Linked DNA regions of Schizosaccharomyces pombe. The protein of the gene in region 1 interacts with the protein of each later gene in a pairwise test. Each region holds a gene or a part of one and is shown on either strand. Other genes may lie near its edges.

Region 1 (5,150 bases):
TTGGAAGTATTGAAATGTTTGATTACTAACGGTTTTTAGGACTCAGAAATACACCATCGATATTCAGAATTTGCTTCTTTGCGCGTACAACTTAGCCGCCTGTATCCTACTTGCTTGGTTCCTCCATTACCTGATAAACATAAAATCATGGATTACTTGATAAACGTCACCAAAAACCAACGAATGTCTCGTATGCTCGAAGAAAGAAAGAGATTATTACAATTATTTTTGAGAAGGGTAGCACAACACCCTATTCTGGGCCTTTCAGAAGTTTTTCGAAAATTTCTTAGTCGACATGTATCTTGGAAGGAAGTATTGCATAGTCCTCCTATTAGTTGTCTCCCAAAGGATTTATTGAAAGCCCCACCAGCTGATCCTTCTTCTAAAGAGAATGCTGAGTTATACAAGGAGCTGCCTATTCCCTCTAAAACCCTTGTACCTCGTGACAATTATGACGATGTTGGGAAAAATTTTCTTATGCTTGAAGATACGCTACAGCAGTATTCAATAGTAGCACAAGAGGAATCCAATTTATTTAATCAAATTGTTTTATCAAACTCTAAGTATTGCCTCGCACACTCTACTTTGGGGGCAATGTTTAACGCTCTTTCGTTATCCGAGTCGGGAAAGCTTTTGACAGCACTGGAAAAGGTTGGACAAGCAAATGATCACACATGTCTTGCTAGTATTGACTTTATGCACAACTTTGTAATCGCGGTAATAGAACCGCTTCAGGAGCTTTCAAAAGACGCCAAAAATATGCGTCACATTTTTATCTTTAGAAAGATGAAGTTTATTCAACAGGTAATGGTCGAAGAGCTTCTCACAAGAAAAAAGAGCTTTCTTCATCTTTTGGAGCGCAGGGAGAGACATGCTGCTCGTCTACAACAGGCTATTGGTGAGGTAGATGGGGACGTAATACTCAATAGGGAATCGGAAGCTACTTTGGGTGTAAATAACGCTCAAACTTCTCGTTCAACTATTCCCGAAGAAGATCCCCTATTTAATGATGAAGAATCAAAAGAGCCGTCGGTTCCCTTGATGGGAACCGATCAGCCCTTGGAAAACTATCATGATGGAAATGGAGAGCAAACGGAAGAGTGTTTGCGGGATTTACGGCACAATCAAAGTCAAGATTTTGAAACAGTATCACAAGATACCTCTTTGACGTCAGTTACTGTTTTACCGCGCACGATTCGTGATGTATTTGATAGAATACGTTTTGTATTGAATGGTCTAACTGATAATAATGTGGAAGTATCGCGACACAACAACATCGGTAGGACCGCAGAAAGCGTTACCCATCTTACGGACATGCTCTTGATTACCACTAAGGATGTCGCATTTGTAACTGACAGAGTAAACTTTGAGTTCCAGCGCTACCAAGACACGCATCGTCAGGATTTAAACAGAATTTTAAACCGTTTGACCGATAGTCATATAGATTGGGCCAACCGGAACTTGCGAATCTGGAATTCCGTACAAGAATCATTGAAAACATATGTATCATAATTTATTGGTCCTAGATTTGGTTGGGTTTCTTTTTCAATACAATGTTTGAATATTTGCTTTCATGCTTTTCTTCCTATTCTGCATATTCTACCCCTAGGTGTTTTACTTCATTCAGGCTTGACCTACTAAGGTTAGAGAATTCCGGTACCCTTTTATAAACGTGCCATTGAGATTGCCTTGTCTTTCAGGTTGATTAGCACCTTGCTTGGTTTTTCTTCATGAATCTGTTTTTTTTATGATTATTTGTAATGAAATATATGAACGCCTATCTTCTTAATTGACCATCATCTTAAATTTGTACTGAAAGTAAGAGTCACATGTCGATCAGTATGTAATATATCGGTATACAATTGTTTGCCGTTTCACCATAATAAACTGGTAATTACTTCCTGTACTTTTATCAATTAAAGTTATTAATTTATTTTAATTATTAAAGCTTTTTAATTGCAATATTCGTCTTTTTTACTTTTCCATCATCATGTTAGCAATTCACACGGATGTAACGTTATATTATGTATATATATATATAATGTCACCATATTTATGCTGTCATCCGTTTACAACACAGCATCACTTTGTCTTTCTGTTGTGAATTGCTTTATTAACATAAATTAAAGGAATAAATCCTTTTAAGAATTGTTAATAAGTCTTTATTTTATAGATAGCTACAGCAAGTGTTTGTGCGTGATGAAGATATGTCATCAGTAATTTCATGAATTAATGAGGTTTTCCTTTTTCGACTGAAATAATTGAAGAAGGTTCATATTCTTTCTTAAAAAAAAAAAAACAATATTTTTAAGTTTCTAGTATTCTCTGGAGTCATCCATGGAATTAACGAGTGTAAAATTACTTGACATTAGCAATCGACATCTGAATTAGTTTTACGAGCGATTAAAAATGAGAAAAGAAAGGCCAGGAGTATTATTTAATAAAATAAGGTCTTACTTTATTTGTCCGGGCTGTAATTGTTTGCCTGACTGGCCTGTCACACTTCCTTGTGGAGGAACAGTCTGTCGGAAATGCTTTCGAAACGCATATTCTTCGGAAAGCTCTGGAAAAGTTAGTCCCTCAAGATGTTGCTTTTACAACCATAAGAAACCGCATTATTCTGTAGAGACCGAAGTGAAAGATGTGATCATTTCCAAAGTGGTTGAATTGATTAAAACTACAGAGTTTCAAATTTCTCAGCAGAGTTTGGTACCGCTGGAATTAAAGGAGGAAATTTGTCATGACGATTGTCTTTCTTCGTCACCACCTTGTACTTCTGCATTGACTGAAATTACTCTGCTGCCTCCCACTTTTCATAACTTAATACCTTCCTCATCTTCTTATGAGACTGCAGTAGCTGAATTTTTACATATGGAGGACCTATTACAAGAGAATGTTTCTCGAGAATTGGAATGTCAAATTTGTTTTGGCATGCTTTATGACCCAGTTGTTTCTCCATGTGGACATACATTTTGTGGCCCTTGCCTTATGCAAGCACTAACCCAGTCTCCTCAATGCCCGACTTGTCGTTTTGGGCTCCCATCTCCTGTTGTGTTGGAACATGCGAAAAGCCACTCTATTACCACATTTTTGCGAGATTTTTACCCAGATAATTGGTTAGAACGTCAAAAATCATGGGAAGAAGAAAAGGAACAGGAAAGTTGGCTTCCGTTATTTATTAGCATGCTTGCATATCCCAGAATGCCGACATTCCTTCATATTTTTGAACTGCGATACCACATCATGATCAAAAAATGTCTGGAGACTTCTAAGCGATTTTGTATTGCAATGCCTTTAAGAGCACGAAGTGATGGTCATAATGAGCATCGAGAGCTTCGAAATGCTCGTGGTCAACGTCTTTTTTGTTCTGAGTATGGTACAATTTTAGAAATTATCCAAGTCGAGCCTTTGATCGATGGGAGAAGTCTTGTAGAAGCCCGTGGTTCATATTGTGTTCGTATAATCGATTTTCGAGCTGATGGTTTGTTTCCGAGAGTGAAAATTGAAAAGCACTATGATACTCCTTTGAGAGCCACTCCACTCCAATTTCCTGAGCCTGAATATCTATTAATGTATGGTAATCTAAGTAATGAAGAATTAGTTGAAAGAATAGATGCTTTTTACATGAATGCCCGCCGAACATATGTTCATTGGGTTGTACCTTTAATCGATATAAAAATGGAGGCTAGACAGTCAATTGCTGACTTGTCTTACAAAATCACCAATCTTCTTCCTATCTCAGAGCTTGAGAAAACTCGCATTTTGCAAGTTGACAACCCGACCGATCGACTGGTTTTGGTTCTTATTTGGTTAACTCAACTTCAAGAAAGTTGGTGGTATCGTGTTGGAAGTGCTTGCACCATTGCTTGAGTTTTAATTGTAGTTGAAGTCGCGCGCCCTTTGTATGGGCCATAAAATATAGCCTTTGATTTACTGAAAGGTTATCTCGAAAACGATCAAAATACATCTAATTACCCTATACAAATGAGCACTTAATTCTTGGCATCTGAGAATATCTGGGGTTGATTGTCATGAATATTTCTTTGACCAATTTAAAAACACCCATGCCAATACAGCAAGAATTCTCTTTTTGTTTCACACTTTATTTAATAGTTGATGTTTGCAACTTTTAATATTTATTTTTCTTGATGGTTTTTTGTTTATTACTTTTTCACTGTGAAGATATTTTAATAGTATAATCCAAAATAATTTTGGTTTTCGTTATCTGCTGATGAAGTAGATTTTGGCATTATAGAGAAATTAATTTTCTGCTCTTACTAGTTCACATTTCATATTCACTAGTTTAAGAATACAAGTTTCAATTGACGAAGTGGTCTCTGTCTTTTTCTTACTTAGGCATTGGTTAAAGTAAATTTATAACCCCTTTTGTAATATTGCTAACATATGTGGAAAGGCACCTTTACTCCTCTATACTTGATCTTCAATTGATTTGCTTGGTGGGTTAGGTGAATACTACATATGAAGCATGGAGGCACAATAAATTATCGTTTGATTTTTCATGCGCGTTAACTAATTAATATGGAAATTACAAAATAATAAATCTGATGGTCTTCTCAAGGTGGAGCATTTGTAGAGCACTACTTAGTGTTGGTTCCTCACTGTCCATTCACCACAACAGGTAGAAATTTTTTGGCGAGCTTAAGATTATCGAATATGGAGGATTATGGTTCATATAGTACACCATTGACAGCAAGATATGCTTCTGCTGAAATGTCTCATCTCTTTTCAAGAGAAATGCGTATTAATACTTGGAGACAATTGTGGTTGAATCTCGCCATTGCTGAAAAGCAACTCGGTTTAACTCAAATTACTGATGAAGCTATTGAGCAACTTAAAGCGCATGTCAAAATTACAGCTCCAGAATTTGAAATCGCTGCTAAGGAAGAGAAGCGTCAGAGACACGATGTTATGGCTCACATCTATACATATGGTCTTGCTGCTCCTGCTGCTTCTGGTATTATTCATTTGGGTGCTACTAGCTGTTTTGTAACCGATAATGCTGACTTGATTTTCTTACGCAGCGCCATGGATCTTTTGATCCCTAAGTTAGTCAACGTTATCAATCGTCTTAGCCAGTGGTCTTTGCGATACAAAGACATTCCTACTCTTGGGTTTACACATTATCAACC
Region 2 (4,449 bases), 1.0 Mb from region 1:
CAAAAAATCTAAAAAGTTCTATTCTTCTTTAGCTGAACGCCTCTCCAACCAAGGGCATGCTCTAGATTTATTTGCTGGTTGCCTTGATCAAGTAGGTATAATGGAAATGGAAAACCTTGTTAACAATACTGGTGGTGCCATTGTGCTATCCGACTCATTTACAACTTCCATTTTTAAGCAGAGCTTTCAAAGATTATTTAGTGTTGATGCTTCCGGTTATCTAAAAATGGGGTTTATGGCGAATTTGGAAGTCTTAACGTCTAAAGGCCTCACTATCTGTGGAATGATTGGAAATGGAGTTGGTGAAAATAAAAAAGGTACTAATATTAGTGATACTCAAATTGGCATAAGCAAAACGAATTCTTGGAAAATGGCAGCGATTTCACCTAAATCTTCATACGCTCTATATTTCGATTTGGGTAAAGAGATGGGGAATCCAAATTCGCAAAGGCCTACTCAAGCTTTCATTCAGTTTTTGACATATTACCAACATTCTTCGGGAACTTATCGACTTCGTGTTACTACCATATCTCGCTCATTTATTACCGGCAATGCAAAAAGTATTTCGGAGTCGTTTGATCAGGAAGCTGCTGCTGCTATAGTCGCTCGCATGGCTTTGTTCAAATGTCAAACCGAGGATGAAATGAGCGTAACTAGATGGATTGATAGAAACCTGATTAGGCTTTGTCAACACTTTGCAGACTATAGAAAAGAAGACCCTTCCAGTTTCCGTTTACTTCCAAACTTTACACTTTATCCACAGTTTATTTTTCACTTGAGGAGAAGTCCATTTTTGCATATCTTTAATAATTCTCCCGATGAAACTTCTTTCTATCGTCATATGTTGAACGTTGCGGATGTCAATGATTCTTTAATTATGATACAACCCACTCTTCAATCCTATAGCTTTAACGAGCCTGAAGGGGTACCTGTATTACTGGATTCTGTTTCCATTAAACCAGATGTGATTTTGCTACTTGACACCTATTTTCATATACTGATTTTCCATGGTTCAACTATTGCTCAATGGAGAAATGCTGGTTACCAAGAGCAACCAGAGTATGTTAATTTGAAGGAGCTTCTTTTAGCTCCGCGTCTTGAAGTTACTGAATTACTGGCTGATCGCTTCCCTATTCCACGATTTATTGTTTGCGATCAGGGAGGTAGTCAAGCGAGATTCCTACTATCAAGAATTAATCCTTCTGTTTCTTTTAACAAGTCCTCTCAATTTTCACCAATGTCAAAGGATTCTGAAACGGTTTTAACGGACGACGTAAACCTGCAAAAGTTTATGGACCATCTTCGTAAAATGGCTGTCATATCTTAAATTGTCTATATTGAAGATGAGTCTATACAACTATCATTACACATTTGCATCTTTGTAATAGCGGAGCTATCAACTATGGCTTTGTAATGTCGATGCAACCTAAATACATCAACTATTAGTATATATTCCATCTTTAGAAGAAAATGTTCAAGCATTTGTTAACACCATATTTTGATATTATTCATACAGATAATGGTGTAAAATCTTTTAAAAAAGGAGACCGCTTTTTTTATTTTCTGTATTTATAATGTAGTTTTTTTAGAAAGGCATAAACTACTCAATTTGTTCTCGGAATGTAATGCATTTAATGTTTCGTGCAAAGTAACCTACCCCAATTTAGGTATTGAAAATTCGCATTCTTGGTACGTATTCGCAGGGAATTTATGATTAATTTGGGAGTAAATTATGGTAATGGTAGTATTAAGTTAAGCAACAAACGTGTAAAATTAGTTAATGGGCAAGAGCCTATGTTTGTTTTATAAAAGAGAGGTTTTTTTAAATATAACATACTTTTATTGTTCGGTGGTTATTGGAATAAACGTGTTCCGTTCAATTGAAAATATGCATCATAGTCATAACTACTTGTAACACGTATTGTATACCATATTCCGATAATCAGCAACTTTCTCAACACAATTCTTTTCCTATTGCAAAAGCTAGAATATTAAAGCATAGTAAATTGAACAATATTTAATAGGAATATTAACATTGGTATTTCTTCAATCGGTTGATTACAAACTAGATCACGCTTCCATTTTTTGGTTCCTTACTTTATTTTTGGATATACGGTTGCGTTGATTTGTTGCTTCGCCAATTACTTTTTTGATAAAGGAAAATGGATCATTTAGAATTTGATGAAAATACTGATTCAGAATATTCGATCTTTGAGGAAGACAATGACTATGGACTTCATGGATTAGATGATTCTGTTGGTTTTACAGATTTATTTGACGCACCAAACATTTATCGGGTCTATTCTTGGCTACACAAGCATTATAATCAAAAGAAAGGACAGGTATGTCCATACATAACATTACCACCTTTTGTATTTTATTAATGTCTGTAGTTGAAACATGGAGTATCACGTCAAAAAAATAAATTGCAGCCTATTCATAAACAAATTAACTATGAAACCGACAAGTTAAAAGAAAGACTAGGGAAATCGATCGACAAGTTTCAAGAACAATGGAATTCCGGAAAAGTTGTTCGTTTTCGCGATAAATTATCCTTCGCGTTAGGTGTTAGCACTTGCATTTTAACTGCCTTGCTGGTTGGTATGGCTCCTGAATCAATGCACCTATGGTATACTATACAGCTTTTCGTTTATTTACCTTTGAGGTAAGTAGCTTATAATTTCTAATGGATATGAGCGTGGCTCGTATTCTCGTATGCCATCATTTTTAACTTAAATAAGGTATTATACGTATCAACGAAAAGGATACGAATACTTCATAGCTGATTTTTGTTATTGGGGGAATATTCTGGTAAGTTTATTTCAGCAGTGTGAAGAAACTAATGTCAGCTTCTTGTTTACATTTGGATATTTCCGGAGAGTCGGCGATTATTTATTCTGTCATACTCAATAAGCTATGGTACCTTGGCATGGTCTGTGGTTGCTTGGAGAAACAGTTTATTGTTTCATTCAATGTACGTACCTAAGAAGAAGTTTGAATGCCTGACTAATGTTCAGTGATAAAATTACAAGTCTCTTCATTCATTTTTTCCCGCCCTTGGTTCTTCATACAATTGTGCACCTAACAAATAAGTCTTATTTAAAAGATCGCTTTCCTGCTGTTTTAAAAGTTAAAAAGATCGATTTGCTTTCATCTGTGGAGATTGCTTCTTTTTTTTATGCATTGTGGCAGATTTGGTATTATTTTTTTATCCAAGTGGGTAAACAAAAACAAATTCAGGAAGGCAGACCAACTTCTTTTACATGGTTGTCAAAAGCGTATGTCCATATTCGGTGTACTTAACTTTTCATGGCTAATACTAGAAGTTATTCTAAAACAAAGCTCGGGCGTGCAGTTGCGAAACTTCCTCAAAACTTGCAACCATTTGTTTTTATGATCATTCAGTACCTGTATTCAATTACAACAATGTTGCCGTGTTCTCTTTGGTATAACAACAAATTATATTCTACTGCTTTCCTAGCTCTAATTTTTGGCTGGTCCGTCTGGAACGGCGCATCGTATTACAGTAAGTCATCAAGTTACTTATGAAAATTTTAGGAATTTAACAATTTTAGTTGATGTATTTGGAAGACGTTTCCAAAAAGAATTAGAAGCTTTACGACAGCAATTGGCAGAAACTCCGACGAATTCTGGTTCTAGTTCTGCATTAAGCCGTTAATTTATAGCAGTAACTCATTTAGCTACTAACGCTTCGAAATGTCTGATCTTTACTCCTTATGATTGTTCCATTTTTATTTCCTACATTATTACGAACTTAGCTTAACAATTACGAAAAGACCTATATTTATATCAAGTTAAATAATGTACAATTTTTAGAATGAATCTTTTTTCTTTTTATGCTGGGAGTTGATGTATACATGAGTAGAGATGTCTACCTTGTTCAAGGCCATATAAAATAGTTTTCCATACTAAAAAATAAGTTAGTTATACCAATTAGGATTAGCAATGGAAAAGGAAATTTACCTTATGAGTTTCAATTCTGTTAAGCAATTTCGAGACGGCTTTACGAACCTTGTCAGATATATGATAAAGTCCAAATGCAATTACAGATAAGCCTCCTGAGTGAAGGGGGCAATTAGACAATAAATAATTTACATCTTCTTCCGTTCGAATGTGTGACTCAAGAGCAAGAAATATTTCGGCAGCATCTGTTGTAGAGAGAGACGAGTTCCTTAGTCTATCCAGGTGAAACTGAATATCCATACAACGAAGTACAGGGGTGCTTGCACAATGAAGCCGATAGCAATAGTCTTTATACGTGGATGCTTGTCTCCAAGCTTCAAACTTTGGGGCTAAATAAAGAAGTTCATTAACCTTTTCATCGTCATTATCCCAACTCCACCCAAATCCTTTAAACTTGTAATCCTTATAGTATGGGTTGAGCGGGGATGATTCCAAAAACAAGGCTTCATAACTTGTCGCTTTTCT

The links. Proteins that work in one complex are often made in the same cells at the same time.
Region 2: the proteins of SPOM_SPBC14F5.10C (region 1) and gpc1 interact in a two-hybrid assay, tested with the Schizosaccharomyces pombe proteins (one large-scale study listed by BioGRID).

What each region holds. Positions count from the first base shown.
Region 1 is NC_003423.3:4,174,972-4,180,121, reverse strand, and holds SPOM_SPBC14F5.10C (ubiquitin-protein ligase E3), read left to right. Parts: upstream 1-2,063; 5' UTR 2,064-2,409; coding exon 2,410-3,870; 3' UTR 3,871-4,650; downstream 4,651-5,150. Other genes in the region: sorting nexin Snx41, read left to right, coding at 40-1,512; adenylosuccinate lyase Ade8, read left to right, coding at 4,675-5,150.
Region 2 is NC_003423.3:3,179,843-3,184,291, forward strand, and holds gpc1 (transporter), read left to right. Parts: upstream 1-1,956; 5' UTR 1,957-2,162; coding exon 2,163-2,342; intron 2,343-2,393; coding exon 2,394-2,665; intron 2,666-2,741; coding exon 2,742-2,811; intron 2,812-2,849; coding exon 2,850-2,974; exon of another isoform or gene 2,975-3,017; coding exon 3,018-3,278; intron 3,279-3,326; coding exon 3,327-3,526; intron 3,527-3,575; coding exon 3,576-3,679; 3' UTR 3,680-3,833; downstream 3,834-4,449. Other genes in the region: sec2302 (COPII cargo receptor subunit Sec23b), read left to right, coding at 1-1,327; SPOM_SPBC776.06C (Arf3/6 docking factor), read right to left, coding at 3,834-3,929, 3,985-4,449. UniProt on the Schizosaccharomyces pombe protein: Glycerophosphocholine acyltransferase (GPCAT) that utilizes acyl-CoA to acylate glycero-3-phosphocholine (GPC), forming lysophosphatidylcholine (LPC).